Tamandua tetradactyla: one gene and its partner. The protein of the gene in region 1 purifies or fractionates together with the protein of each later gene. This does not show direct contact. Links are inferred from orthologs where the notes say so. Each region holds a gene or a part of one and is shown on either strand. Other genes may lie near its edges. The genes, in order: LCK and SH2D2A.

Region 1 (15,362 bases):
CATGGGGTCCAGGATGAGTTGGGTCAATGAAGTCACGAGCAAGGTGCTGTCTGTGCCTTCAGCCCCATGCACAAGGATGCAGGCCCCTTCCCTATGGGCCCAGGATTTCATCAACAGTAGTTAGGGGTGGCCAGGCCAGGAGGAAAATAACCCAGTTCCAGTCTGCACTTGCTTATGGGTTGAGAGTCCTGCCCCGTCTGCCCTGTTCTCTGCCTCCAAGGTGGAGGCCTTACCTCTCCATGCCCTGGGCTGCAAGGCAGGCAGTGCTTAGCACCTCCTTCACATGTGCCAGCCAGCAACAGCCTTCTAGCCGACTAAGCCAGTGGTCCATGCTCTGCTCCGGATCCCCACAGGCCTCCACCAGGCACACGAAGCTCTCCTGTAGGGGCCGGCCCCTGGGCAAATGGAGTCTAGTCATCCCTCCTCAGTCCAAGCTCCTTGTGTACATGGCCTGGGAGCAGGAGCACACCAGACCAGACAGACAAAGAACCCTGTGGGGAGCCCATGTGATGGGAGGAGGGGACATGGGACCCTTTGGGGAGTCCAATCTCAGAGAGCATAGAATCCACTGGAGAGCTAATCTGAAGGAAGTGCTTCAGCATACCTGAGTATTCCACAGCCTGATGGGGGAAACCCAAGACCTTCTGAAGAGACCTAGTCTGTTGGTGGGGTGGGTGGAAGGTAGTTAACAACATTATCTAGGAAAGGATCACAGCCCTCTAGGGAAACAGAATGCTCTGGGAAGCCCCTGATTTGATGGAAGTGTCACAGTACCCTGCAAGTTCCCCAAACTGATGGGACAAGTAAAGGACATTCTGGGGAGCCCAAGTCTGACATGAAAGACACAGTACTCTTGGGATTCTGGCACCTGCTCCTACTTCCCAGAAATGGCTCTGCTCAAGGTCACCAGGGAACTCTTGTCAGAAAATCTAATGGAGACTTATCAGCCCTCTTCTGTGACTACCCACCACCTTTAGGATAGAGTCTAAACACATGAGCATGGCTTCCAGGCTTTTGTTGTGGCTGCAACCCCCATCTCCCTCTACTCCCACTTCACCCTCTGTACTCACATACTGAAGTATTTGCAGTTCCCCAAACAGGAAAAATGGCCAGGCTCTCTGCAGCTGTTTCCCTGCCATTTCCTCCACCTGGAATATCCTTCTCCCTCCCTTTGGCTATTTCCTCCTCCCCTTTCAGGTTTCTGCTAAAGCACCCTATCCTCAGAGAAACCTTCTTTGGACTACTAAGAGAGGGATGCCTCCTTTGGGTTTCTGAATTCTAACTGCCACTAATCTCAGCCTTGTCTGGACCAGTTGTACGGTCACAGCCCCCGGGCTCAATCAGTGTTGTTTAAACAGAATTTGTATTCTAGAAAGGGGAGCAGTCCACTCAAAGCCCCCAAACTCCTTCAAGACATCCTCTTGTCACTACCATTGGTTGGAGACAGAGGAAACATACCCCTGTGCAGACCCTCAGGGCAGGGTTGAGCACAATGGGGAGTCCAACGTATGTCTATGTATATAGGGGGCTTGTTCCAGGAAGACAAATTTCAGTTTAAAGTCAAAAGGCCAGGATGCCTACAGAGCAATAAGCTCTATCAGTGGGGGTGTGCAAGTAGGGATATCCACTTAGCAGGATGGCAGTCTCCAAGGTTCCTTGCAGACGCACCTTATCACATACACCAAGAGTTCTGCAGGAGAGAGCCTTCCTAGGAAAGGATGGGAAGCCCCACGGTCTCCCTCACCTCTCCAGGGGCCGATGCAGCCGTTTCCAGCCAGGATAGGCAGCCTTGGCCTCGGTGCCGCCGCCAGTAATGCGGGCCTGTTTAGCCTCCTGAGCCGAACGCGTGTCTAGGATGAAGCCCCGAGCCTCAGGCCGAGCCCCAGCCAGCACAGCCCGCAGCAGCAACTCGTCTTCTCTGCAGCGCCGCTTCTGGGGCCCGGTCAGCGGCTGGCTGGAGCGTAGCAACACCTGCAGGCAGGGACCCTGCTCCAAAGGCCGTACCCACCCAACCAGGCTCAGGGATTGCGCTCCGAGAGTCCCTAGGCCAGGTCCACAGTAAGGAGAAGGGCTAGAGCTGGCAAAGGCTGGAGCGTCGGGGCCTTAGGGGCGGAACTCCGAGGGGTCTGACCCAGGTCTGGGTGGGTTCGAGGCAGGATGGGGAAAGGGACCCAATTAGACCGTGGGAGGGTCCTGTATTTGACAAAGAAGGGACTAGGTTTCTAGCGGCCCAGACTGGCCGTGGGCGGGGTTCTGGGAAAGGCAAGACCTCGAAAAGCCGGAGTGGGCGAGCCAGAGGGTGAGGGGAGGCGTCTATCGAGGGCAGGGTGGGGCCGGGCCAAAGAAGAGCAGGATCCCTCGCAGAATTGGCCGGACCAGTACAGAAGGCCAAGAAGGGAAGCAGCTGGTCCGAGGGGCGGAGTCTGGGGAGGGGCGGGGCTCACGGTTCCGCTGGGAGCGTAGTAGTAGCTGAGCACCGGGCAGCGGCCTCCCTGGCGGAAGCGGGCGCTGCGCGCCAGGGTCTGGTCGTCCACCGCGCGAGGCACGATCACCGCGCGAGGGTAACTGGGGCACAAGCTGAAGTCCTCGTTCGCCTCGCTCAGCCTCCACGCGTTGGTCTGCGGCGCAGGGAGGGGTGAAGGCCTGAACTAGGGCAGCGAGTGAGTGTGCGGTCCCCGCCCCCCTTCCAGGCCCGACGTTGTCTTATCCCCAGGCCCCCACGACCGCGCCCACCTCGCGAGCTATTCGCTTGTAGTAGCTTTCGGGCGGGTGAAAGTGCCAGGCGTCGCCCAATCTCAGGCCCTTGGGCCGGTAGAAGAACGGAAAGGAGGTGATGACCGACTCCAGGGAGGACAGCGCCTGGGGAAGGAAGTCAAGGGGTCCGGGAGAGTCGGAATCGACTCAGCCGCGCCTCTCCAGGCCCTCCGCTCTGCAGCTCCCGCCTCCCCACAGACCCCCCTGCGTGCCCCCGCCGTTTAGTTGTGTCCAGGGATGACATTGGATGCGCATTTCCCTCTCAGAGTAGCCTTTTTCACTCCCCTCGGTACAGCACAGGGATTGCTTAAAGGCCTCTGTCGCGCCTCAGGCGTACCTCAATGGAGCGGGCGATGTCCAGCGTCGCTTCCACACCCTCTATGTCCAACTGGAGCACCCGCAGGTCCTTACAGCGTAGTGTGATGGTGCCCGAGTCACCCGCAACTCTGCGGACGGACGGTTCTAGGCTCAGTGTCCCCCGCTCCCCACCGGGGGAAGAGAAACGAGCCTTATCGGATGGGACGTTAAAGAAGGGTCTGGCAGCTCCAATTGCGCTTGCCCTTCCCCCTTTCCCTGCCGAACCGCGCGCTCCGCAACTTTGGGGATGCCCGCACCACGTCTCACCGCTTCTCGATGGAGTCGACACTGCGTAGCAGCAGCAGCCACAAGTCCGTGGTCGTCTGGGGCGCTGGCGACAGCAGCAGGTGGTGGCCGGTGACGTACAGCGTGCCGCGCAGCGGGGGCATCTCCGGGCCGCGCAGGAGCTCGGCCTGGGCCCGGCTAGTACGGATCAGTTCGGAGAACTCCATGCCGCGGGTGGGGGCCCTGAGGCCCAGCAGAAAGACTCCGCGAGCGGCAGGCGGGGCGCGCGCGGGCTCCTAAAGGGACAGGAACTGGCTGGGCAGCTGGCGACGCCGGCAAGACAGCTGTTAAGGAGGCCCCTCGGAGGAAGGAATCGCACAAGAATTTTCCCCTTCCTATTGTCCGCCTATTATGGGAACCTCGATTACCTCATCTGTGAAATGGGGAGAATAATCTTGCCTAAAGCTCTTACTCCAGTGCCTGGGTCGCAGGAAGCACTCAGTATTTTTATTTTTTAAACCCTGGAGTCCTGACAATATCGCTGACTTTAAAAAGAAAGAAAAATAACCACTTCTTCCTCTGTACTCTGATAAGAGGTCAGGAAAGAGTGGGTGTGAAACGGGGAATTGCCTTTTTTTCCCCCCATACATCTGAGGCTTGGGTGGGGGAAGTCCCTTGGTCTACCTTAAATGCAAGCAGCTGTGCAGCTAGCGCCCCTCCCCTTCCACAGCTGGAAGGCCCTGCGGGAGGGCGCCCTCTACGGGGGCCACTTTGGGCAGATTTCTGCCCTCGAGAGTGCCATCCACTATCACTCCATCCTTTCACCAAGTGTGTATTGCCCTCTGCGTTGCTGGGTCCTGTGTTAGGTGCTGGGAACCCAGGGCGGAGGAAGTTCTGATGGTAGGATTTCAGTTTGGCAAGAGACAGACTCACAATGGTCAATTACCAGGTTAAACCCACTTAATGGAAGACCCATCCATCCATTCATCCATCCAATTATTCTTTTATTCCGTAAACACTGATGCCTACTCTCTGTCAGATGCTTAATTACTAAGAAGAATAAGACCGACTCCTGCTTATAACAGACCTTTTGGTTCTCTAGTTTCAGACCTTTTTTCCTTTTTTTGGCAAAATCTTTCTTTTAAATGAAAAAATGAAATCATAGGTAGACCCCCATAAAATAAATATAAAATTGGAATTGTGGTATGGATAAAAACAGATACAAAATAATACAAATTATGAAGTCCAGACCAGCACCAGCACTTGGGAATTTATTAGAAAAGCAAAGTATCAGGCCTCACCCCAGTCGTACTGAATAAGAAATTTGGGGGATGGTTGTTGTTTATAGTTGTTTGTTGTTGTTTTTCCCCTAATATTAGAGAAGTGGGATGCTTACAGAAATATCATGCAGAAAATACAGAGTTCCCATATACCCCATTCACATACACTCTTCCCTATCATAAATACTTTATATTAGTGTGGTACCTTTGTTATAATTGATGAAAGAATATTATTATAAGTTAACTATATTAGCTATAGACCATAGTTTACATTAGGGTTCACTGTGTAGTACAGTCCTTAAACAACAGCACTATTCCGCTAACATATACACAACTTAAAATGTCCCCTTTTAACTACATTCAAATATGTAATTCAGTGGTGATTGCAGTCACGGTGTTGTGCTACTATCGCCATCATCCATTACCAAAACTTTTTTCCATCACCCCAAACAGAAACTATGTACCAGTTAATCATTAACTTTCCATTCCTTACCCCAACCCCAACCCCTAGGATACAGATTATCTAGTTTCCAACTCTATGAATTTGCTTATTCTAATTATATCAGTGAGATCATACAGTATTTGTGTCTGGCTTATTTAAGTAGAAAAACGCCTTCAAGATTCATCTATGTTGTCACATGTATCAGAACTTCATTTATTTTTAATGCTGAGTAGTATTCCATTGTATGTTTTTACCACATTTTATTTATCCATCTTATAGCAATTGTGAATAATGCCAGTATGAACATCGGTGTGCAAATCCAACAATCTATTTCAAAAGCCCTCCAAGTAATTCTGGTGCATGATAAAGTTTGAGAACTGCCAGAAATATAAAAATGGGTATAATTCTTATATCAGAGTTTAATCCTATGTAGTCAGAAATTAGGGCAGCAGTTACCTTTAGGTGAATAGTGAGGGGCCAGGAGCCCAAAGAAGGAATTCCAGGGTGCAGGTGATACTATGGCTTCATCTGGGTACTGGTTACATAGGTGTGGTCAGTTTATGAGAATTTCTCAAGGTGTGTAGTTATGTGCATTTTTCTGCGTGTATGTTAAATTTCAAATATTTCAACACAAAGTTTTAAAAAAGGAAACTATCTGGTTGAAGTCCTGTGAGGGGGCTAAGAAACCAACCACAACTCTGCCCTTCCCTCTGCCCTAAGGAATTTCCAAGGAACCCTAAGGCTCCTCAGAGTATAATTTGAAGTCATTGATCTGCCCCAACTGAGACCCAGAGAATGTCAGTGAGTTGTCCGAGGTCCTACAGAGTCAGCCCCAGAACCATGGTGTCCTGACTCCCAGGCCAGGATTCGGGACACTATTCCTTTGCCGAAAGGCCAGTGTCATGAAGGAGGACAGGGGCAGCTGGGCAGCCTTCTCTCCGCTACCCGCTCCTTAACGTGGGGCTTGGGAGGAGAGCCAACATTCTGTTGCGGATGATGCTTTCCTTATCCTGGAGCAACTTCCTTTCTGGGAACTGGGTGTCTCCTTTTGGGCAAAAACAATAAAATTCATCCAAGGGGTCAGAGGAGCTGGGCTCCTCCTGCCGCCTCCAGGATGGGCATCACGTGGCTCCCTGGGTGAGCAGTTCAGGAAAATCCCAGCCCTTGCAGACTCGGCCTCCTACACCCATCTGTTCACCCACGCTGTCACACTCAGCCCCCCAGGCCCACCTTGGACCTTCACAAACACCCTGGCATACTCCTTTCACCCCCAGCTTCTGCCACCTCTCCCTGGGCAATATTGCCAGCCCTTCCCTAGCCTATCCCAAAGCTCCCATGTCCTTGGGGCCACAGAAATTCCAGCCAGTCGGCAAAGAGGATGAAAAGGAGGAGAGCCTGGACTCTGTGAAGGCACTAACGGCCAAGCTGCAGCTCCAGACACGGAGGCCCTCCTACCTGGAGTGGACGGCCCGGGTCCAGAGCCAGGTCTGGCACAGGGTCCAAGCCAAGCCCGGGCCGGGGGGATCTGGAGCCCTCTGCGGCTTTGACTCAGTGGACTCTGCTCTTGAGTGGCTTCGTCGGGAGCTGGTGAGTCTGGTGGGGTGGGGCGCCTTTCAGAGGCCAGTCCTGCTTAGGGCCCAAGACCAAGGGTGTGGGGAGGGAGTAAGAAAGGACTCTACCCCCCAGCAGCTGCTTATTCCTGTGACTCTGTCCTGGGCCTAAGAAGCAAGGAATAGATTTGTCCTGTGTTTTGTTTAGGGAGCTCTGCTGAAAAAGTATCTGCTCCAATCAACTATATGCTCCTATCGTCCTGCTCTTGAGAAGGGCACCAGTTATGGGTGGGAGAAGATACTCTGGGAATTGCTGTATCCCGAAGATACACTGAAGTATAAAAGCAGGCAGTGACTAAGCTGTAGGCAGAAATCCGAGGAGCGTAGTATTGAACAGGTGGTTCTCAACCCAACATGTTGCAATGTAAAGATGCCCAGGCTTCAACCTGGAGATTATGTTGGCTGATCCAGGAGGGCACCCCAGGCATCTGTATTTGTTTAACAATAGCTCCCTAGCTAAGTTTGAGAATCACTGGTGGAGCCAGATCTGAAATGGGGAGGGATCAGGCTGGGGCGAGAGGAAGCTGGGACTGACACAACCAGCACAAAGGCCCAGAGTGTTGACAGGAAGGGATAACTGGCGTGAGGGCCGGAACTAGTCCAGCCAAGGCTCACGTCCCCTCTTGGTTGCAGCGGGAGATGCAGGCTCAGGACCGGCATCTGGCTGGGCAGCTCCTGCGACTGCGGGCTCAGCTGCACCGGCTGAAGGTGGACCAGGCCTGTCACCTGCACCAGGAGCTGCTGGACGAGGCCGAGCTGGACATGGAGCTGGAGCCAGGGGCCGGCCTAGCGTTGGCCCCACCACTGCGTCACCTCGGCCTCACACGCATGAACATCAGTGCCCGTCGCTTCACCCTCTGCTGAGGGCCAACCGCTGCCCTTTCCCCAGCCCGCCTAGGAAGGAAGAAGAGCAGGGTGCCCCAGAGGCCCCAGCACCTGACAGCGGGTGAGGGTGAGGGAGGGTTCAGCTCTCAGAAGTTCTGAGAGTACAATGCTCAGGCATCCTGTCATGTCCAGGTAGTGCCCTCTCCACCCCCTACCCCACCCCTACCTGGAGAACCCACTCCACCCCCCACCCCACCCCCGGCTTCTCAATAAACACCCTCTCTAATTTCCAACAAAGTCTCTGTAGTCATTTACTCATGTGAAGTGCAAGTGTCTGTGATCTGTCGCTGGGACCAGTGATTCCTGCAGGGGAGAAGGCCTGTTTGGTAGTGAGGAATCCCATCCCCACCAGAAGGTCCCGTTCTAGTTCTCTGTCTTATCTCTCAGCTTCTTTGCCAGAAACTCAAGCTCAGAACTGGGAAGTAATTTAAAATCCCAAGTCACCCGCACCTGGAAAAACTGGAAAGGTGTAGAATGCAGGATGTGGTAGACCTGGGTTCAAAGTCAGTTCCCCCATTTATTTCAATTAGACCTTGAGGAGGTCCCTCAACCTCCGAATCTGTTTTTTTACTTCTAAAATTGAGATACTAATTCTCACTCCAAGGTAGTCAGAAATGGCTTAAGTGAGATAATTCACAGTAAACACTTAATAAATGTGAGCTTTCTATTACTGGTCATTACTGTCACCCAGTAGCATTAGTACAATAGTGCTAATGGCCCAGAGAAGGACGGTGAGATGCTCAGGATGGCACAGCAAGGTGAGCAGGACCTTGTGCCCTGCCGCAGACCTGGAGCCCTGGCTCTGAGCAATGTGCGCTCTGTAAGTTTTTTACTTTACATCTCTCTGCCTTTGTTTCTGTGTTACTCTCTTTGTCTGGCTTTTCAACTCAGGCTTCCTCTTCCCCCCACCCATTTCCTGCCCCCCTCCCACCTTCACAGCTGAGGTGCACACAGAATCAGCTTCCATTTCACAAACCCCAACAATACTCTGTGGGTTCCCCTCCCCCAGCTTGCTCAGGGCTCAGGCCATGATGGTGATGCATTCACACTTTCCTTGGGTGGGGTCAAGGCCCAACTCTTGGGCCTGCCAGAGTTCACCTGGAGTTCTTCAGATTCCTGGTTCCTGGCCCTCTGCCCATGACAAATGCCACCGTCAGACTGGCCCCAGGCAAAAGGGAGGTCCTTGGTTTGCCTGCTGCTCATGACAAGGATCCTGCCTATAGCAGGAAGTTCCACCAGTCTGCTGCCTGCACCTGGGTGCCTGGGCAGCAGAGTTTGTTCTGCCTTCCACCTGTTGCAGATGCTGGCAGACTCTGCATCTCTCCCAGGGGCTGTGGCCTTGCCTCTCCCTGAATTAGAAGTGTCGCCTCACTTTCCAACCATAATTAGTACGTATCGCCCTGCCCATAATTCGTAGGGTCTGTTACTCTGCCCTTCTGAAGATGCAGTGTTGACCTGCCAGCTTCCTGAAACCGGGTTGTCCAGGATTTTGTCTATAAGAGGGGTTTTAGCCTAGCCTCTGACTTTAATAAAGCACTTGTCCTGTCCCCTGAGACAACATGACTATTGCTCTACCTACCGATTGTAGCAACCCAGTGAGCTGCTGTCTGACTGTGCATGGGTGTTGTTTAAATCTCCAACTATTGAACAGAGGTGCTGTCCTTTCTGCTGACTTTGAAGCCGTCAGACAGCAACAGTGGTGCTACCTGCCTTTCCCTGTAAGCTGAGCCTGTGTCTGCTTGCTCCTTGCTTGTCCCTGCTCGTTGGGCTCAAGGGCTGTCCAGGAGCACCCTGCGGGCCAGGACATGAGGTTCCATCCAACATTCATCTTCTAAGTGCTCACCCTCGGGTAAGTCGGGCCTGCCCCTGGAGATGTATGGGACCCCCAGGGGCTGAGGGGCGGGGGGCTATGGCAGCAGGAAGCTTGGGGTGTTGAAGGCTTGTGGTTGGGCTGCTGGGGCCGGGTTGGCTGCGGAGTCCTCAGGAGGAGGCAGGAAGTCAGCGTGGGACGTGGGCGCGAAGAGGTAGGCAGAGGCTACGACGGCGAGGGGAGCTGAGACCAAGACTGGGCAGCCGGGCCGGGCCAGGAGGACCATGTGAATGGGCCGGAAGGCTCCCGGGCTGGGCAGGTAAGGGGAACTGGGAACAGGGTAAGGGGAACTGGGAACAGGGGTCTAGGGGCTGTGGCGTGGTTGGGGATGACAGCAATGAGCCTGCAGCTGAGCATGGGGTCAGGCGTCCCAGGGTAGGCAACAGCCCTTCAGGCTGGGGGACAGAGAAAGCTTGCTGGTGGTCAGGTGGAAGGCATGGAGGGCGACTGGTTCACCTCTTTCCTGCATAGTGGGTGGCTCTTGCCTCTGCCACACTATCCACCATCAGTCCTTGCCTCACTGTTTCTTAGAGAGCTGATACATGGAATGTCAGATATTTAAAAGGCCTTCAGTAATCATCAACTACAGTTCCTTATTTGACTTAGGAGGCTCCTGAGACTCTGATCAGGCAAGATGCTCATTCCCCACGGTGCCTCAGCAAGGCAGTGGCCGGGCCACGATGGGAACGCAGTGCTCTGGCTTCACTGGGGGAGCATAATGGCCTAGATCGAGACCCCCACACCACCCTCCCTGGAGTAGAGTGATGGACAGGTTTGAGTCCAGGGGACCCAGGAATCTTCTGTGTCCTGTGGCAGATCTAGTGACCATAATCTCCTGAGAGGAACCACCCAGGGCATCCGCATGGAGGCATGAGCAGCAATTTTATCTTCAGTGACCAGCATTACTTGAGAGAGGGAGGGGTCGCCCTATAGGAATGGATGGCTACATAAGGGGATATTTATGATCTGGATTAGACTCTCCAGGGTGAAAGTATCTGCTCTGACTCTGGGAAGTTGGAGGGGGAGAGGATGATGGGAGAAAAGGAGAGGAAGGGTTATTTTTATCCTGGACAGGGTGCAGTTGGCTGTGGGCAAGGAACTCTGAACTTCTCTCTGGAGAGTTGCCACTCCTGCCTCAGCCAAGAGTTGCAGAATGTCCTCTTCACTCCTCTTGTTCCCTCCTGCTTCAGCCCTCAAGCGGCCGCTGTATGCAGGCCAGCTAGGCCCTCCGAGTCCTCCTTCCAGCCTAGGGAAGTGGAGGCCCAGGAAGGCATAGTCAGCTACCCGCCCACCCGCTCACATTCTACTTCTGAGCCTTCAGTTTAGTGGGGGAGTCCCCTACCTCAACCAAACATCCCAGGTTCCCCTGCCATGTCCTCCGCCACTGGAGTTTTTCTTAACACACAATTTCCGCCTAGTCAGCACGTCCCAGCCTTTCCTCTGTCCCCAGGTCCGAGGCCTGTGGGGGCTGGAAATGTGTTGGCTCATTGGTGCTGCAGGGGGACTCCTCCACCCCCTGGCTGACTGACATGAGCAGTCCCTTCCTTTCCTGTGCTAATAGATGAATCAGACAGTGGCCCTCATCTCTCCCTCATCTTTGGGGCTCAGGGACAGAGGCTTTTCCCAAAGGGAGGAAGGGCTCCGTAGATAGGGACAGAGAAAGGACCGAGGGTTCAGAGGCGAGAAGGCTTCTCTCAGGGGGATCTAGAGGGCTTCCTGGAAGAATTAGGGCAGTTTTAAGAAGAGCAAAAACCCATTTTGGAGAGAGCTTGGGACGTGAAGCCAGAATCACCATCCCTGGGCTCTCGCTGTTCCTTGAGTACCATGAGGGTAGAGACCAAAGGTAAGAGAGCCAAAGGTGTCGCGTAGTGCAAGGGGCACGCGTGTTAGATTCAGGCCGACCTAGGTACAATTCCGGTTTTGCCATTTCCTTGGACGAGTGGCTTCACCCCCTGTATTTCAGTTTCCTTACCCGAGGCAATGATAAAGCCCTCCCTTACTGAGTGCTTGTGGGGAATCAAAGAGAAAATAATGACCGTGACATGCCCTGGTTAATACCTGCCACGTAGAAGGTGCTTAACGAAAGTTCGGTGCTCCCTCCCCATGCATACGCTGCAGCAGAGGGAAGGCTGCCCTCGCCCAGAATTGTACCCACTCAGCACCTTGTCAGGCCAGTGAGCCACCCATTCCCTCAACCCTTGTGGTGTAGCTTTGCATATGAACTTGTTGTTTCCTGTGTATAGTGGGTGTGAGAACTCAGGCTGGCTGGATTCTGGGCTACCTCTGAGGTCAGGAGTCTACCTCAGAGGGGGGTCCCACAACATGGCCTCCCTGTCCGAAACAGGCTGGATATCATCATGAGGACATGTGTGCATGTATACTCAGAGGCAGAAGCAGAGGCTACACACACAACACACCCGCACTGGTAAAAATCAATCCCCACACCCACAAGCCGATGGCTTCAAGGTCAGGTTCAACTCAGCAAACGCAATTCTCAGGGGAGATGGGTGGGGGTGGACACAGGCAGGACCAAGATACCATCCGGGGCCGGCGCCTCTAACAACAAACTGCACGGTTAAAGTACACGGCGCTGCATTTCCCAAGCTTTTTCCGTAGAACATTAGTTCCATGAGGCACCTGGAAAGGAAAGGGCTCTGGGGCCAGGTACACATGGCTTCAGTTACAAACTCTGTCCCTCTGTTTCACAACCAATGTCAGAGCGTTAGAGCGTTGAAAGTATCCCCCAAGAAAAGAAATCTGATTAATTTAGTCTAGTGCGGTTTCCCAAATTTCCTTGGCCGCAGAACCTTTTTACGTAGTGACCTTTTCCACGGGCTGCACCTCTTGAGATGGGTATGGCGGAGAGAAGACGGGCTGCGCAGTCGGTCTTCCTCAAATGATGGCATCTCTTGGTAGAGTTTTTCCATTAGTAGCGGTTTTGTTGTTTTTCTGTTCGTTTTTCATTTACAGAATTAGCACATGGGTGTTTTTAAAAATTCAAAAAGTACAGAGACATATAAAAAATAGAAGAAATGTGTCCCCTCTGGTCCACTTCTGGAATGTGCTCGCTTTCAGCAATTTGGTGTGCATTCTTCTAGACTTTTCCACATATGGCTGCTTAAGAGCACAGCGGTTAAGAGCCTGCACAGTGGAGGAAGGCAGAGCAGACCGAGGTTCAGCTCACAGGTCCACCACTTGTTTGTTGTGAGGCCTCAGACTCCTTACCCTCTTTGGGTCTTAAATTTCCTTTTTTTTTTTCAATTATTATTTTTTCTTTATTAGAAAAGTTGTGAGTTAGCAGAACGAGCATACATACAATACAAGATTCCCACATACAGCCTATTATTAACCCCGTGCACTGGTGTGAAAAATTTGTTACAGTAGATGAAAGTACATTTTTATAATTGTGCTATTAACTAAAGTCCCCGGTTGAACTTAGGATTTGATGTTTGAGTAGTGTAGTTTCATGGATTCTTTAAAAAAAATTCTATTCTATTACCATATGTACAATCTAACATTCCCCCTTTTAATCACATTCAAACATATATTACTGTGCTGTTAATTGCTTTCACAATGTTGTGCTACCATCACCATTATCCATTACCAAAACATTTCCATCTTCCAAACAGTAACCCTGTACATTTTTTGGGGGGGGGGGTGCTCAGTTTTTATATCTGTAGAATGGGAATAATGGTAGCACTTACCTCATAAGATTATTGTGAGAATTACACGAAATCATGCAAATAGAGGTTTAGCACAGGAGCTGGTGTAAAGGAATTCCCCATATATACGTATTTAAATGCAAATAGGCCTATTTTCTACATTTGGTTCTGCAACTTGCTTGCCATGTTATCTGTGGACTCTTTTTCCACGACAACATATGGAGCTCTACTTCATCGTTTTAATGGATTTAGCTACCTCTTAGCTTGCGAATGGGTAATGGTGGTGAATTTGAGATGCTGCTACCAGGCAAGTGGAACTGTTTTGCATTGACAGTGTTGCTGGGAGTCACAGACAGCACCCATCAGCGAGCTGACGACAGGCTATATGGTTTCCTAAGAAAAGGGAGTGACCTGCGAGAGCAGTGCCCGCCTCTATCACAGACCGTGGGGCCGAATGGACAGGAACCCCTTTTGTCTGCTCACCTCTGTGTCCTCAGCACTAGTGCAAAGGCTGGCACGTTAAGTTTTTGCTGATAGACCCACCAGCTAAAAAAACTGGGTCTCCTTCAACCCAGGGACAAGGGCCCAATCCTAATGTTCTCCCTCGCAGTGCAGCATTTCCTAAAATGTGACCTGTCCACCATTGATGTGTATGAGCTGATTTCAGGGGATAATGGATGGATGTCTAAAAATGTTATTTTGTGTATTACATTATGTGTTTATTTTAATGTGTACCGATTTGTACTATCTATCTATGGCTGGTGATACTGGTTTACATTTATGGTAATTTAAAAGTGTTCCTTTTAAAGTAAATATATTACAACTGAAAAAGTAGTCCGTGGACGTGGCAAAAATCATATAAAATGAAGGAAAATGAAAATGATGAATTAGTTTAGTCTGGAAAATGTGTGAGACTGGTGCAATAAATGTCCCACCCCAGTCACAAACAACAATGATTCTTATTTATTGAGTCCTTACTACATACCAAGCACCATGTTAATCTCATATAATGTTTACTACAACTCTAGATGCAGCTCCTATCTTTATTCCCATTTTGTAGATGAAGGAACTGAGGGAGGCTCAGAGAGGTTTAGTAACCTGTCCAAAGACCTCCTGCCAGTGAGTGTGATTGGAGACCTTGGGATTAAAATCGGGTCACTATGACATGTGTGTGGTGAGCTGGACCTCGATGACTTGCAGATTTCCAAAAACCTTATAGAGCAGCACAGATTGCCAAGCCGTAAACAAGGCTCTGTCCTGATAGAACCACTATAACGTAAAAATGCACATAGATCGACCCAAGGAAGGAAAGTCACTGAAAGGAATTGCATGGTACATACAAGATACTAGTTAGGGAACCTCTACCCAAACTACCACCTTAGAAACATGGTGCTATAGCCCTTATTTATTGCATAAATATGGAAGAATCAGTTTTATATCCAAGTCACTCCCAGTTCATATTAAACCTGGCTTGCTTCGCACCTAAAAGAAGGTTTATCTTTTTGTTTCTGCAGCCAGAAGCCACCAAGTTCATTCAAAAGTGATATTCTATGAAAAAAGGAGGGCACATGGGACACATCTTTGCTTTACCCACTGGAAATTATTTACCCAGCCCACCAACCCTGATTCTTGAGTACTGTAATGAGGGTTCTGTGTGGGCATTCACAACTAAGGCTCTTCATTGAACATATGCAACTTTGCCCACAAGCAAATCTTGGCCAGAAACAATGGCCAAGAAAATCTTTAAAATTATTCCTGATACACTTTGCCACAAGGTGTTCCAGAGGACAAAATGGCCTGTAGTGGAATAGCTGGTATGTTCTTGACCTAAACTTTAGCCTGAGAAACCCAGGCAAGAAGAAGGCACACATTTTTAAAAATTTATTTATTTATTATAAATAAACAAAGCCAGGTTTAATTAAGAACAAACAAACAAAAACATTAACATTGCATTCCGTTCTACATATATAATCAGTAATTTACAATATCATCACATAGTTGCATATTCATCATTTCTTAGAACATTTGCATCAATTCAGAAAAAGAAATAAAAAGACAACAGAAAAAGAAATAAACGATAACAGAAAAACAAGATTATACATACCATACCCCTTACCCCTCGCTTTCATTTATCACTAGCATTTCAAACTAAATTTATTTAACATTTGTTCCTGCTAGTAAGAAGGCACACATTAAAAAAAAATTCTTTTATTAATTAAAAAAAATTACAGAAAGAAACACAAACATTCCCAATATGTGATCATTCCATTCTACATA
Region 2 (16,198 bases), on another chromosome or scaffold:
AGGAGTGTGCAGGAGGGTGGGGCTGCCCCCTCGCTGAGCTCATCTGAGACAGCCCAAGGAAGGCTGAGGGAGGCGTGTGCAGGCGGGGGCTGGGACCCACGGCCCAGGGCGGGGTCAGCTTCGGGCCGGTGTGAAGAGGACCTGATGGACCGGTGGACACGGACAGGCTGCAGGCCCAGGTGGGGGAAGGCGGGGGGGCACACTGCCTGGGGGCCCCTCTTTTCTCTGTGAAGTTCCCACATGCTGAGAAGTGGAGGGGCTGGGAGCTTGACAAAAGGGGGCAGTTCCAAGTGACTTGAGGAGAGAAGAGGGAGCAATTTCCGGGTCTGTTGCCTCAGGCCTCAGACCCAGGCATCCAATCTCAATACCTTCTTTACTCTCCCCTACCCAGCTTTCAGAAGTCCTTCTTATAGTCTAACCCTTCCCTGCATCCCATTTACCTGGCCTCTTGGGACAGGCCTGGACCGGCACTTCCTTAGGATGGGGTGTCCAAGGATGGGCAGCAGGTCCTCACCCCCTGACGTGGGCACCTCCACTTCGGCGTAAATGTTGCTGGCGGATTCCCCAGGGCTGCCGCGGCCCATGGCGTAGAAAGCGATGGGTTCATCAGGCTCGTGGTAGATGGGGTTGGGGGGCTTGGGAGGTGGCGGTGGAGCTGGGCGGGGTGGCGGAGCAGGGCTGCTGTAGACTTCAGAGGGCAGCTGAGGTTTGGCCGGGATGGGAGGCTTGGGCCTGGGCAGCTGGGAGGCCTAGGAGAGAAGGTGTGGCCGGCAGGAGAGGTGGTTCAGAGCAATCCAGGCAGGGCCAAAGCTGGAACCTGAGTCTCAGCCTGGGCCCCTCCTCCCCCCTCCCCGCCCCTCCCCTCCCAGCCTGAGCCCCTCCTCCCCTCACTAGCCCCTCCACCCCCCACCAGCCCTGCCCCTCCCAGCTAGCTCTTTCCTCCTTTTCTGTCCTCCCCCTTCCTGGGGTCCAGCCTCCTCCTCCTCGGTCAGCCATTCCAGCCCAATACCTCCTTGGGCTGCCTTGCAGCCTCCTGCGGTGGGGCTGAGGAAGCCTGGCCCTGTTTGGAGACTGGGCTATACTGGGGGCCTGGATCTTGGTTTTCACTTCCAGAGTGGGGTTCTTCAGTCCTCAGGGAAAGTCCTGCGGGCTCCGCAGTCTGCCAGGAAAGGAGGTGGCCTGAGGGACTTGGTACAGAGGGCACTGGGAGGCAGGTGATGGAGGAGGACAAAACAGCCTGGTCTAAGCCAAGGAAGAGGGTGGTAGTGGCACAGAACTGGGGGCTGGGCTCCCTGGGTCAGGAAAGGGGTGTGGAGATGGCAAGGGGGAGGGGGAGGGGTGCGGTGGGGGTCGCTCTGGGTGTCACTCTCCACATCTAGCATTAAATGTAATTTCACGTGGAACACAGGGCCAGGCTGGTCTCCATCTGTGCATATAAAAATGCAACAAAGCTTTAGAAGTCTTTAGACTAAAATTTTTCGGCATATGCTGTGTCTGTGTTTATTTCTGCAGATGACAGTCTGAGTGGAGCTATCCCCTTCCCAGTCGTTGTGGCACAGGCTCATGTGGGAATATGGGTGTGCACCCGCCCCACAGACCCTGGCCGGTGTGCACCCTCCCCCTGCTGAAAACTGGCCCTGAGATCTCTGGAGCTTTTGCTCTAGAGAATCATAATTTATGGAGATAGAAGCCTGATTTTTGTAGGGGCAGAGACAGCCTCAGGGGAGATGAACCTCACAGTGGGAAGGTTACTATGCTTTCAGCTCAGGATTTAGCCCTAGGTTCATGAAAGCTGTGCACATGCCACTCCTTCTGGTAAGCCAAGATTCTGGGGCTCTCCCTATGGTCATGCATGTAGATGTCTCCACCTAGAGATGTGCAGGCACCACAGGCTTCGTGGGTCCATATCAGAATTATTTCTCCCTGCCCAAAACCTCTACTCTCTCTGCATTCCCTTTATGAATAAAAAGGGGCATCTGCATTAAGAGTCAACCTCAATAGCTCCACCTCTCTCGCTCCCTCCTTACATCTAATCAAATACAAGCCCTACTCCTTTCACTGCCTAAATATCTTTCACATCTGCCTATTTGTCTCTATGCCCACCACCCCAATTCAAACTGCTCCCCTGAATCCTCTCTTGCTCCCTCCAACACCTTCTCCTCTTAGGGTGGCAGAGGAATCTTGCAGAAACTTCACCTGCAACTCTCCAGTGCCTGTGTGCTGCCCCTAGGACAAAGTCCACACTTCTGAGAGCACGAGTTACAAGACTCTTCATAGAGTTTGGGGCCACCGGGCTTGGTTTCTGCCCCAATTCCCAAATTATCCGTCAAACTCCTTCCCGCTGGCTCCTCCTCAGCCCTATATGTCCTTAGACCCAGTTTCTGCTGCTTGGGTATCTTTGGTCTCTGCCCAGTCCTCACAGGATTCCATGAGAGGTGCCCAAGGCACTGTCCCTACTTCTTTGAACTGACCCCAATCAAGCTTCTTGAAACAGTTCTTGTCAAAGTCACCAACTCCTCTTGGCTTACTTCAATGGTCAATTCTTGACCTACTGGCACTCCCTCTTCCTTGACTCACTTTGTTTGGTTTCTAGGACATCATTCTTTCCTGTTTTTTTTCTTTCTGTCTCTGGCTGCTCTTTCTCAGTCTTCTCTGTAGGTTCTCCTCATTTCTGCAAACTCTAAATGCTGGAGGCTTGGCTTTTACTTCTTTTCCATCTAATCTCACACCCATGAGCGAGATTTTGCTCCTCCTGAAGGTTTCAGAATCCATCTACACGCTCATGACTCCCAAATGTTTATTTCCAGCGCTGACTTCTTTCCCAAACTCCAGACTCATGTTTTCCAACTGCCTACTTGCCATCTCCATTTGGATGTCGAATGGACATCTCAACTATGCATGTTGAGAATTGAACTCTTGATCTAATCCCTACACCTCCTCCCCAGATTTGCTTCTACTATGTCTTTCCACTTCAGTCAATGACAACTCCATCCTTTCACACTCATCTAATCCTGCAAAATCCTGTCACCTCCATCTTCAAAACAGACCCACCATTCTATCACCCAATCCCTCCTCACCTCTCATCTGAAATACTGTCGTAGCCTCATCTGGTCATCCTTGACCCTCCCAAACTTGCCAGGTCATGTCATTTTTCAACTTGTAAATTTCCAGTCCCATCTCATCTCATTCAGAACAAAATCTCAAATCTGTACAAGGGTCTACAAGGGTCCTGTTCCCTTACCTCTCTGATCTAGTCTTCTGTGGTTCTACCCCTCAATCACCCGCACACCCTCAAGCTCACTTCCTCGCTGTTCTCACTATTCTTCAAACACATCCAGCATCCTCCTATCGCAGGGCCTTTGCACCTGCTGTTCCCTGTGCCTGGAATGCATTCCCTCCAGTTGTAAGCTCCACTCCCTCCCTTACTTCATTCAGGCTTCAGTTCAAATGTGCCATTTCCAGATTGGCCTTCCCTGATGTCCTTAGGTAAAAGAGCCCCAACCCTGTCAACTATCACTGCTTGGTTTTTCTTCTCAGCACTTACTTATCATGACCTTACATATGTATTATTTGTTTGTTATCTGTATTACTTATTCACTGTCTGTCTCCGCCCATCAGAATGTAAGTCCCATGAAGGCAATGATATTTTCCCATCTATTTTCCTGCTTCCCAGAACAATGCCGGGCTATGGTAGGTACCCAGTAAGTGTCTTGATATTTAATAAATAAATGACTATGTGCCTAACTGCTGTCTCCCTGCCCCTCCTGTCTTTGGGTGCTAGGACCCCTCTCCGCGTGCTCATCTTTCTCGAAGGGCTTCCCAGGAGTGGTGACGACAAATGAGGCCAGGGTGGGTCGCCTGCTGGGATGAGAAGGTGCCTGGAGCGGACAGGCACTCCGCCGGGGGCGCTGGGCGCTGGCCTGAGTCCCGGGGTCAGGGTCCGGGGTAGGGGGTGGGCGGCATACCTGGCGGGCGCAGGGCTCGGTGAGCTTTTCCCCGTAGGGGCTGAGCGGGCACGCGGTGTAGTGTCGCAGCAGGTCCTGCAGCCGCTCGTGGGCGCTCTCCTCGCCCAGCACCACGTGGCGCCCGTCCCCGAGCTGGGCCAGCAGGAAGTGGCGGCAGCAGGTCCGGCTCCTGCAGGGCGCCATTCGAGGTCGGACCCGCTCCGACTGCCAGGCGGGGGCCACCGGCGCTAGGCGCCACCCCTCCCCCGCCCTGCCCAGCTAGGATGCGGTTCCTTCGGCGGTCGGGAGAGGAGCGAAGAGTCCCGCCCCTCACACGTCCGTCAGCGCGAAACCCCGCCCCCTCTCAACTCGAAGCCCCGCCTCCAGGGCGCCGCCCCGCCCCCTCACCTGTAAGTCAGCACGAAGGTCACGGCGCTCTCACTGAAACGCACCAAGTAGCATCCTCGCGGCTTGGGCTCCAGCAGCTTCTCGGCCTCCCTGTGGGTGGCAGAGAGAAGAGACGGAACCCCTCTCTGACCCTCTGGGCCTCGCCCTGTCTCCCCGGCTCTCGTGGGGGCCTCCCAACCCCAACAGAGCACCCTGAATTGCCTAGAAAAGGACTAGGGTGGGGGTGGGGAGAACTGGGGGTGTAGAGGGACTGAGAGTCCCCGTCAGGAGGTCCGCCTGGGGGGCTGGGGCTGCAACAGAAGCGTTTAGTAGGTAGACTTCTAGATTTCAGAAGTCACAAGCTGACCTGAGACCGAGAAACAGAGAGGCGGAAAGCATAAGGGCTGGAGGCCTTAAGACAGGAGGATAATGCGGCTAGAGAGAGAAACTGAGGCACAGGACCCAACTGCTCAAGCTTCTCTCATTATCTCCCCCAGGAGAGAAGCCTTAGTGAACGGTCTGGGAGTCGGGAGACTAGCGCCTCAGTCCCAAACCAGCCAAGGGACCCAGGACGTGCTCCTCTCCAGGCCTGTTTCCTCTTCTGTGACTCACCTGCGGGTGATGAAGCCGTGGAACCAGGCGGGGGCTGCCCCGCGCTGCACGAGCCAGTGGGCCTGGGTCTTCTGGAACCAGTCCCGGATCTCGGCCTGCAGGGACAGGCCCCCTTCCTCAGGCAGCTCCTCGGCTTTCCCAGCTTCTCCTGGATTGGAGGCCACCCCCAGGGCCTGGAGAGATGCCTGGTTAGGGGACGAGTCCAAGGAGGGGGAAGCAGCCACCGTCAGCGGGCCTTCCCCTGACTCCAGGCCAGCCGCCACCTTCTCACTCTCAGGTCCAGCCCTTCCCGGGCATGAGGAGGACGAAGGCCCACCTGTTCCAATCGCCTACTTAAGGGTGTAATTATCTAGAAAGCCCTTCCCAGGGTCTTACTTAAGTCCACTTCCCTTTCGGTCAAAAGGGTATTTCATCCAGCAGCAGTGACTCCCTGCGTCACTGGGCTTCAGTGAGGGTGAGACAAGCATCCTGGCCTTCCTGATGGACAGAAGGTCAGTCCCTGGCCTGGGGACGGGGGTTGCAGAGAGATGAGGCGTGAAGCCACCTGGGAGGCCAGGAATGAGGGTGAATTCACCCTACGGTAGGAAGGACCAAAGCTGGACCACAGATGGGACTTTCCAATGAACTGAGAAGGTGCGAGAGACTGAGATGGGGCTCCTGAATGCACAGGGTGGATGAAGGCCACCGGCAGAGAGCTGCTGTCGAGTGCTAATTGGACTAAAGGCACTGTGATCTGGAACTGGGGGCTCAGCCTGAAGCTTCCCAGGGGCAGAGGAGCAGTGAGTGGGAGGCGAGTGGGCAACTCAGCAGATGCAAGAGGTAGGCCCTGTCTCCTTTCCGCTGCCCTGTCGGCAGCCCCCTGTCGCTCACTCCTGCTTTCTCCCTTCCCTTTGTCTATCTGCGAGACCTCACCCGTGGGAGGCTGGGAGCAGATGAGTGGGCTGCGCCCCCCAAGTCCCCACTCACCGCGGCATGCACATCCAGGGCCCTGGGGCTGGGCTGGGCCTGCTCGGCCTCCAGGGCCTGGGATCTGGACCCGGTGGGGAGGCCCAGGCCCTGGCAGCTCCTCAGGTTGGCCAAGTCCCTGGGTTGGAAGGTGCTGAAGGTTGGGGCAGGGTCTTGGCGACTCCCTGTCGGGACAAAGAGGACTGCTGGGTTTCTCAGGGAAGGATTGCCTGTCCCGCTCCCTCCCACGCCTCCTCCAGGCTCAGGGGGTCCTGCCTGCCTCCGACAAGGGACCAGGATGGGGACCTTAGGATAGCAGGAGAAATGCAGAAGGGACAGCAGGGAGGATGTTCCAGGGATGAGCAATAAGGAGCCAAAGAGACACGGAGGGACCACGCCGGGAATTAAGCTGGTCTTCTGGTGGCCAGGAAGTCCCACCATCAGGGAGGCAGGTCGCTTTGGGGCAGGCCTGTCTTTGGGGCCAGAGCCCTCGGCCACCTCTTTCATCTCTCCAGCTCACTCCTCTCTCCTCCCTGTGAAGCGCTCAGCAAACCCCATCACCTTTATCCTCAGGATGAGCAGACCTGGAGTCACCGAGAAGGGGAAGGGGGCGGGGGCCCTGGCGGTCAGCCTTGCCCAGCTCTGGCTTGGAGTGGGGCTCTCGTGCCTGCAGTGGGGGGCTCTGGCCCACGGGAGAGGGCAGGATGATGAGAGATTTGGGGCTGTCTCGAGGTCCCCTCCTACCCACATTCTCCAACTTCACACTTACCTTGAGGGCATATCTGGGCCAGGGGGCACTCCATGGGGAGAGCCTAAGAAGGGAGCTTCCGGAGCAAGGTGTGTGTGTGTGTGCGCTCTGGAGAGGTGTGTGCACACTCAGCAACTCATTTCCCCTCTCACTCGGGGCCCCCGGGGCAGGAAATGTCGCCTCACCCACGGCCTTAGCCCCGGCTGAGGACCCACGTCATGGAAAGCCCTAAGACAATCGTCCCTCCCCCCGGAAGCTGGCCCATTGAGGGAGGGTGTTTGGGTGCTGGGAAGTCCTTTCTGCTGTCTGAACCCTATCCCTCCTGATTCTTCCTCCACTCCCCACCCCAGGCTGGGACTTGAATTTCTCCCTCTCACTCTAGGCTTCTGCTTTCTCTCTGGAAAATGCACCCCTGCCTTTTGGTCCGTTCTGCAGTGGGAATGCGATGCAACCTCAGAGGGATCAGCCCTGCAGGGTGCTCGGGTCCTTCAGAGGTCCACACTCAGGCTTATGCTCCCAGAACACATGAGGAGGGGCTGGGGCTGCAGCAGGAAGGACGTGGGTCAGACTTCTGGAAGGACTTTCTGGGGTCACAGGGAAACTGTGAGGCAAGGGAATAGGGAGGAAGGGTCCTGGCTTCCATCCATGAGCGGATCATGGAGCTGGGTTAGGGCAAAACCAGTCAATCTTGGAAGAAGGGTGGGAGAATTTCCTCCAACTAAGCAGGAACGATATTAGTTATTGTTCATTAATACCATGAATGCCCACATGTAGTGTGCACATGCCCCTCCCCATTTAGAGGACCACTCTGTCTCATATGATCCTCGCAGACTAGGAAGAGGGCAGACAACATTATCTCAGTTTTCCAGAAGGGTCAGCTGAAGCTGAGTCAGGTTGAGTGCTTTGCCTAGGCTCTTTCAGCATGTTAGGAGCTAGTGGCCCAACTGGGTCCAGAAACTCGATCTCCTTTCACTAATATTTTAAATTTTTTATTATTTATTTATTTTTAAATACCAAAAAAAAGTAAACAAATGCAAACATTCGTAACTTTTGATCATTCTTTTCACTAATTTTACCGTGATTCAGGCCAGTGGTCCATGGAGATGGACCAAGCGCTGTTCTTTTTTCTTTTTTCCTAACTTTTTTTATTGTAAAACATAACATATATACAAAACAAAGAGATAAAAAAGCAATAGTTTTCAAAGCACTCTTCAACCAGTAGTTACAGGATCCCAGAGTTTGTCATGGGCTACCATACCATCCTCTCAGATTTTTCCTTCTAACTGCTCCAGAATGTAGGAGGCTAGAAGGCTAAAATATATTTTTTATCATCACGATCGACATTTTTGTGTATGTGTGAAAAATAACATATATTTTTATTGTTATAAAAGCAATAAATTTCAAAGCACAGCACTACAATTAGTTGCAGAACATATTTCAGAGTTTGACATGGGTTACAATTCCATAATTTTAGGTTTTTACTTCTAGCTGCTTTAAGATACTGGGGACTAAAAGAGATCTTAGTTTAATGATTCAGCAATCATATTCATTTGTTAAATTCTGTCTTCTCTGTATAACTCCACCATCACCTTTGATCTTTTTGTCCCTCGCTTTAGGGGTGTTTGGGCTATGGCCATTCTAACTTTTTCATGTTGGAGGGCTCTGTCACTAATATGGGGTAGGGAGATCAAACTGGTTGATGGTCTGGAGAGGCTGGGCCCTCTAGGTTTCAGGACTTACCTGGTCCAGGGAGCCGTCTGGAGGTTGTAGGTTTCTGAAAAGTTATCCTAGTGCATGGAATCCTTGTGGAATCTTAAATATTGTCCTAGGTGTTCTTTAGGATTGGCTGGAATGGCTTTGGTTGGGGCAGGCACTGTTTTCTTTAGGCTGAGAACTGACAGAGCTAAAGGACTATGTCCCTGCCCTCAGGAGGCCAGGTAGAGGACATGAACTTGAACAGATATTTATAAAGCCTGTGGTGAGTTGGTGGTATGGGCTGGTGCGATGGGAACCTACCTCAGAGGCTCCTTGTCCAAACTTGTGTATTTGTGCAAGAGAAAGCAAGTGAGAGAGAGAAAAAGAAAGAATGTGTAGGAGGTTGGAACTTCAGAAGAGGAGATGGAGCTAGAGCCATGGAGGGTGAGTAAAGTTGAAGAAGATGGGAAAGTGTTCCTGGAAGAGAGTCCAGCATGTGCAAATGCACCAACATGTGAAATGGTGTGATGTAAGGGGTAGTTGCAGATGAGTGTGTGACTATAGCAGATGGGCTTTAAAGCCAAGGAAACTGCTGGGTCTTCTCCCCCTTCTAGAGTCTTAAGGAGGTGGGGCTGCCCTCCCCTTTTGCTCTTTGGGTATGGTACCCCATATCCCTCCTCTCTTGCTCTCATAGCTTGCTCCAGCAAGGCTCTCATCTTCAGAAATTTTAGGTAAGAGCTATCTAGGTTCACAAAAGGCTCCCAGACTCTAGGGGACATTTATAGTATCTGCCTTCTTGTTCATTGCTGTTTCTCCATCCCTTGGAATTGTGCCTGATATATAGTAGGTATTCAGTAAACATTTGTTGAGTGAATGGATGATGAATGCTTTCCCTCAGTGTGCTCTGCATCGAAAGCAACACATGGCGGGCTGAGCAACCATCTAGCTAGGTGACAAGATGCCACATCCCCTTCTTGAAGCTCTCCTCCCAACACTGTGAGTGAGTCTCTTGAGCGCCCCTTCTTTCGGCTTGCGAGATGGAATCAGTTAGGCTAGGCTAGGTTAGCATAACTTAACGTAATAAAGAACACTAAAATGTCAGCGGCTTGACATGACAAACATTTGTTTCTCACCTGTGCAAATTCACTGCAAGTCTGGACATCTCTTCAGGGCATCTGTGGCAGAAGTGGTGGTCCAGCCTTCCACGCTGCCCAGATTTTTTGATGCCTCCATATCTACACACGTTTCTGCAATCTCTGTGACTGGGGAAAAGGAGCACGGAGCATTATGCACTGGTTTCTAAATGTTACTTTCCTTTTTGGAAGTGAAACACACCACTTCTGCACTCTTCATTGGCCAAAGCAGATCACATGGGATGCCTAATTTCAAAAGGTCAGGGATGTGTATTTTTCCCTGTGTCCAGAAATGGAGGAGAACCAGCTATATTGGCCTAATCTTGTCTACTGCAGGTGGGGAAGAATAGCAACTCAATTATCCAGTCGTGAGCACAGGGTTAGTAGGTGTTTTAGCAGAGCTCAGGGTGAGAATCAAGGTGCTAACACTTCATTGCGAGCTGCAACCAAGAAAAAGAGAAGCATGGCCACAATAAAACGAATGCAAAACAATAGCGCTGCATTGGCTACCACTTCAAAACGAATTGCAAACAGAAACAGCCAGTTGCTTGATAGGCATTTTCATTTGGCAGACTTTTTCCAGAGAGGGTGTAAGATGAAACCTACCTTGGCATCGTCCACTAAAGGGAGAAAACAGGAAGAATTATCTGTTCAACTCTGTCTTGCCTCTCACTTCTCATTGGTCAAGGTTTATCCCGTACGGACTGACCTAGAGGTGACATCACCTGCACCCTGTGTGACCTCATAGCCCTGGCATGTGGTGTTCATTATAAATCAGGAATGGAGGGATCGCCATGACAGGGAAAGAGAGAGATGGAGGAGGCACACCGGCTCTTAACTGCTTCAGCCTGGAAGTGACACATGCTGCTTTGGTACTTTTCATTGGGTAGAATTAGTTAGTTGGCCCCAGCCTGATGGCGAAGGAACCTGGAAAATGTGTAGAAGCCACGTGGATGCTCTGGACGCACCAAATGCCTCTGCCATAGCTCTGAAAAGAGAAATTAGGAACAAACTCACTTAGACATTCTAGCTTTACTGTTTTGGAAAATATTTTTAATTTGAAGTTTCCCAGTGAGAGAGTATTCAGTCAAAAAGAAAGAATAAGCCCCCTGCTGGTGGGGCTTCATGTATTTCTAATCTTCGGTTAGAAATAATTCTCAGTGAATAATATTGCCCATATTTTGCACGTGTATGAGTGTACTGCAGTGGCAATTTTAGTGTAGGCTGCCTGTTGAATCCCCTAGGGGCCTCAAAAAGTGCTGATTCCCAGGTCACACCTCAGAGACATCGAACCACTGAGGATGGAACCAGAGCACAGTCTTTTTGAAAGGGTTGAAAAAGCCTTCTTGACCAAAAACGGGAAGAGAGAGGAAACAAGATAAAGTTTCCGTGACTGAGAGATTTCAAATAGAGCTGAGAGTTCATTCTGGAAGTTATTCTTATGCATTATATAGATATCCCTTTTCAGTTTTTAGTGGATTCGATTAGCTAGAAGGAAACACCTGAAACTGTTGAACTGTGTTCCGGTAGTCTTGATCCTTGAAAACAATTGTGTCACGACACAGCTTTTACAGTGTGACTGTGGATTGTGAAAACCTTGTGTCTGATGCTCCCTTTATCCAGACAGTGTATGGACAGATGAGTAAAAAATAAGGACAAAAAATGTCCTTAATGGGGAAGGTGGATAAGGGGCATGGGATGTTTTGAGCGTTCTCTTTCACTGTTATTTTTATTCTTATATGTATATTTGTTTTTTGAGTAAAGAAAATGTTCAGAAGTTGTTTGTGGTGATGAATGCACAACTATGTGTTCGCACTGTGAGCCACTGATTGTACACTTTGGATGATTATTTGATATGTGAATATATCTCAGTAAAATGACATTTAAAAAAGAAAGAATAACAATGGCAGTTCTTATATTTAGAATTCATCATTTTCAATAAAAATCTGTAAACTAAATATCTATATCCCAGGAATGCAAGGGTGGTTCGAGATACCAAAATTTGTCAATGTAATACTAAATACATGGAGTGAAGGGGAAAAAACACATGATTATTTCAGTAGATACACAAAAGGAATTCAACAAAATCCTACACCCTTCCTGTATAAAAACACCCAGAAAGGTAGGAATTGAAGGAAACTTAACATGATAAAGGCCATTTATAAAAGCCCACAGCCAACATCATAATCAATGGTGAAAGATTTAAAGATTTCCCCCTAAGGTCAGGAACAAGACAAGAATGCCTACTTTTATCACTGATGTTCAATATTGTACTAGAAGTTTTAGCCAGAAAAGTTAGGCAAGAAAAATATATAAAAGATATCCAAACTGGAAAGGAAGAAGTACGACTATCTCTGTTTTCAGATGACATAATTTTATATATATCAAGTTCAAAGAAAATTAATAAATTCAGCAAAGTGACAGGTTAAAAGGTCAACACACAAAAATCAATTGAGTTCCCTCCAGATGGGTCCCTGGTCCATATAAGTCCTGAAACCTTAGCCCAGCCTCTCCAGAATATCAGATAGTTCCATCTCCCTACCCCATATTAGTGACAGACTCTTCCAATATGAAAAATTTAGAATCGCCATAGCCCAAACATCCCTAAAGAGAGGGAAATAAAGATCAAAAGTGATGGTGGAGTTATACAGAGAAGATAGGTTTAACGAATGAATATGAATGCTGAATCATTAAATTGATATCTTTTTTAGTCTCCAGTATTTAGCAGCTACAAGTAAAAACCTAAAATTGTGAAATTGTAACCTATGTCAAGTCTGAAATATGTTCTACAACTAATTGTGGTGCTGTGCTTTGAAATTTATTGCTTTTTGCATATATGTTATTTTTCACAAAAAAAGAAGGAAAAAAAACGTTGAATGTGATGATAAAAATAATATTTAAGCCCTCTAGCCTCCTATATTCTGGAGCAACTAGAAGGAAAAATCTGAGAGGATCGTATGGTAGCCCATGACAAACTCTGGGATCTGTCCTGTAACAGATCCTGTAACTACTTGTTGAAGAGTGCTTTGAAAACTATTCCTTTTTTATTTCTTTGCTTTTTATATATGTTATACTACACAATAAACAAAGTTGAAAAAATTGATTGGGTTCCTGTAAACTAGCAATGAACAATCTGAAGAGAAAATTAAGAAAACAATTCCATTTACAAACAGCATCTAAAAAATAAAATATCTAGGAATAGGTTTTACCAAGGATCCAAAGACTTGTAAAATGAAAACTACAAAACACTGCCAAGAGAAATTAAAGAAGATCTAAATAAATGGCAAGACATCCCATGTTCATGAACAGAAGTGTTACTATTGTTAAGATGTCAATATTTCCCAAAGCAATATACAAGTTAAGTGAAATCTCTATAAAAAACCTTACACCCTTTTTTTGTAGAAATAGAAAAACCAATCCTCAAATACATATGGAACCATAAGAGGCCCCAGATACTCAAAACAATTTTGAAAAAGAAGAGCAAAGTTGGAGGACTCACACGTCCCCATACAAACCTACAGTAGGCAAAACAATGTGGCGCTGGCATGAAGATGGACAAACGGAACAATGGAACATAACAAAGTCCAGAAAGAGTCCCGTATGTCTGTGGCCAAATGATTTTCGACAAGATTTCTAAGTATGCAAGCGGGGAAAGAATAGTCTCTTCAACAAATGATGCTGGGAAAACTGGATATGCAGTTCTAAAAGAATGACGTTAGACCCCTTCCTCACACCACATTAAAAAATAAATCAACTCAAAATGACTCAAGGACCTACATTTAAAAGCTAAAACTATGAAACTCTTAGAAGATAACATAGGACCAAGTCTTCATGACCTGGTGTTTAGGAATGGATATTTAGATATGTCACCCAAAGCATGAGCATCAAAAAACAATAGATACATTTGATTTAATCAAAATCAAAAACTTATTTGTATAGGAGAGAATTATCAAGAAAGTGAAAAGACAACCTAGACAATGGGAGAAGATTGTAGCAAATCATATGTTGGATAAAGATTTAATATCCTGAATATATAAAGAATTTGTATAAAGCAACAACAGAAAGACAAACAACCCAATTAAAAAATGGGCAAAGGATTGGGTAGACATTTCTCAAAGAAAATATACAAGTGACCAATAAACATATGAAAAGGTGTTCAACATCACTCATCATTAGGAATATGAGAATCAAACCCAAGAGATACCACTTCACACCCACAAGGATGGCTACTATTTAAAAAGTGGAAAATAACAAGTGTTGGAGAGGATGCAGAGAAACTGGAACTCTAGTGTATCGTTGGTGGGAATGTAAAAAAGTGCAGCAATTGTGGAAGACAGTTTGGTAGTTCCTCAGAAAGTTAAGTACAGAATTACCATTTTTATGCCCCAGCAACTCCACTTTTAGGTATATACCCAAAAGAATTGAAAGCAAGGACTCAAACAAATATTTTCATACCAATGTTCATAGTGGCACTATTCGCAATGGCCAAAAGATGGAAACAGCCCAAGTGTCCATCAATAGATGAATGGATAAACAAAATGTGGTATATCCATGCATTTGGAATATTATACAGCCATAAAAAGGAATGAAGTTCTGATACATGTGACAACATGGATGAACCTTGAAGACCTCATATTGAGTGAAATTAACCAAGCAGAAAAGGACACATATTGTATGCTCTTACTGATATGAAATATTTAGAATAAGCAAATTCATAGAATCAGAAACTAGAATACAGGTTATCAGGGGCCAGAGTAGGGGTAGGGGATAAGGAGTTAGTGTTTAAATTGTACAGTTTCAGTTATTGTGACAGAAAGCATTTGGTAATTGGTGGTGGTGTCGGCAGCATCGCATTGTGAGAGTAATCAACAGCTCTGAGTTATATATTTGAATGTGGTTAAAAGGGGAAGTTTTAGGTTGTATATATGTTATGTGAATAACCATTTTTTAAATAAAATAAATGGTGCAGGACGGGCGACGGTGGCTCAGTGGCAGAGTTTTCACCTGTCATGCCAGAGACCTGGGTTTGACTCCAGGTGCCTGCTCATGTAAAAAAATAAATACATAAATAAAATAACATGGTGCAGCCACGGTGGAAAGCAATATGGTGGTTCCTCAAAAATGTAACTAGAAATTTACCATACGGCTTGGCAATTCCACATCTAGGCATCCACCCAAAGAAAGTGAAACCACGTCTCAAATAGATGCGTGCACACCACAATTTACAGCGGCGCTATTTGCAATAGCCAAAGGTGGGAACAACCAGGTGTCCATCCACAAAGGAACGGATAAGCAAAATGTGGTACATGCACGCAATGGAATATTATTTGGCCCTAAGAAAGGATGCCCTCTAAGAGGCGTGCTGCTACCTGGAAGAACCCTGAAAACAACACGTCAGTTAAATAAGGGCAGCATGTAAGAACAAATATTGTATGATGTCACTTATAAAAGATGATGAGAAATAGAGAATTTGCAGAGATAGAGGGCAGATTAAAAGTCACAGGGAATGGGGAGAGGAAGGAAGGGGGACTGTTTGTTTGTAAAGAGAAAGAGGAAGAGGAAGAAGGAGAGGGAGGGAATATGCAAGGAAAAGGAGAAAAAAATCAATGAACAAATGTAAAGGCACACGGCACATATGTTCATATTTCACCCACAAAATTCATTTTTGGGGAAACAGAATTGTAACAGAATTTGTGACAGGAAAATGGACTGGAATAAGAATAGAAGGATATTAAAAAATTAAACAGTGGGCAGCAGGCAGAGTTCTCGCCTGCCATGCCGGAGACCCAGGTTCGATTCCTGGTGCCTGCCCATGCCAAAAAAAAAAAAAAAACCAAAAAAAATTGAAACAGCTTTTGAGAGGCTGTGCTATGTATGTATAACCTGGTGTTTTCCTGGAAGAAAGATCGAAGGAGAAGGTGGAGTTATAACAGGGAAGATAGGATTTAATGAATGAGTATGAATGCTGAATCACTATATATATTTTTTATTTTATTTTTTTAAATACAAAAAAAACCACCAAATAAATGCCAACATTCCTATTTTGATCATTCCGTTCTACATATATAATCAGTAATTCACAATATCATCACATAGTTGCATACTGAATCATTATACTGATATTTCTTTTAGTCTCTAGTGTCTTGGAGCATCTAGAAAGGCAAACCAAAAATGGTGAATTGTAACCCATACCAAACTCTGAAATCTGTCCTATCACTAATTGTTGTGGTGTGTTTTGAAATCTATTGCTTTTTTGTATATATGTGATTTTTCACAATAAAAAATTAAACATCCAGTTTGTCTAATAGTAGATGTCCAGAGACAGACATTTATTGCAATTTCTGTTTGGACTTTTAAAATAACCTTTTATTTCAAAATACTTTCAAACTTATAGAACAGTTACAGCAATAATACAAAACCCATACGGAAAACTCCTATCTCTCCAGATACCCAGACCCACCAATGTTAACACTTGGCCACATTTGCTGTATCCTTTCATCTATTTATCTAACTACTCATCTATCCATCTACCTGCCTTTCTGACTATCTGTCAATCCATTTTTCTGAACACTTGCGTGTTCATTTTTTTTCATAATGTGCTTTCGAACCTTTTCTCCTCCCTTGTTAGATCCCATCCAGGATTGCATATTACACTTAATTGTCATTGTCCCTTTAGTGGCTCTTTTCTCAAACTTTTCATTTTGAGTATTTTTTTAATCTTACAGGACAGTCAC

What was found.
Region 2: the proteins of LCK (region 1) and SH2D2A purify together in Homo sapiens (co-immunoprecipitation; 3 studies listed by IntAct, with this or other methods). This does not show direct contact. The link is inferred for Tamandua tetradactyla from reciprocal best matches to the Homo sapiens genes LCK and SH2D2A.

What each region holds. Positions count from the first base shown.
Region 1 is NC_135328.1:193,639,025-193,654,386, reverse strand, and holds the start of LCK (tyrosine-protein kinase Lck), read left to right. Parts: upstream 1-9,528; 5' UTR 9,529-9,682; intron 9,683-15,362. Other genes in the region: myotubularin-related protein 9-like, read right to left, coding at 1-91, 234-395, 1,745-1,971, 2,445-2,618, 2,734-2,859, 3,092-3,200, 3,379-3,563; protein FAM167B, read left to right, coding at 6,394-6,645, 7,302-7,532. UniProt on the Homo sapiens protein: Non-receptor tyrosine-protein kinase that plays an essential role in the selection and maturation of developing T-cells in the thymus and in the function of mature T-cells. Plays a key role in T-cell antigen receptor (TCR)-linked signal transduction pathways.
Region 2 is NC_135330.1:9,787,114-9,803,311, forward strand, and holds the start of SH2D2A (SH2 domain-containing protein 2A), read right to left. Parts: upstream 7,000-16,198; 5' UTR 6,692-6,999; coding exon 6,658-6,691; intron 6,074-6,657; coding exon 5,910-6,073; intron 5,129-5,909; coding exon 4,944-5,128; intron 4,443-4,943; coding exon 4,353-4,442; intron 4,135-4,352; coding exon 3,966-4,134; intron 1,160-3,965; coding exon 1,010-1,159; intron 750-1,009; coding exon 441-749; intron 1-440. UniProt on the Homo sapiens protein: Could be a T-cell-specific adapter protein involved in the control of T-cell activation. May play a role in the CD4-p56-LCK-dependent signal transduction pathway. Could also play an important role in normal and pathological angiogenesis.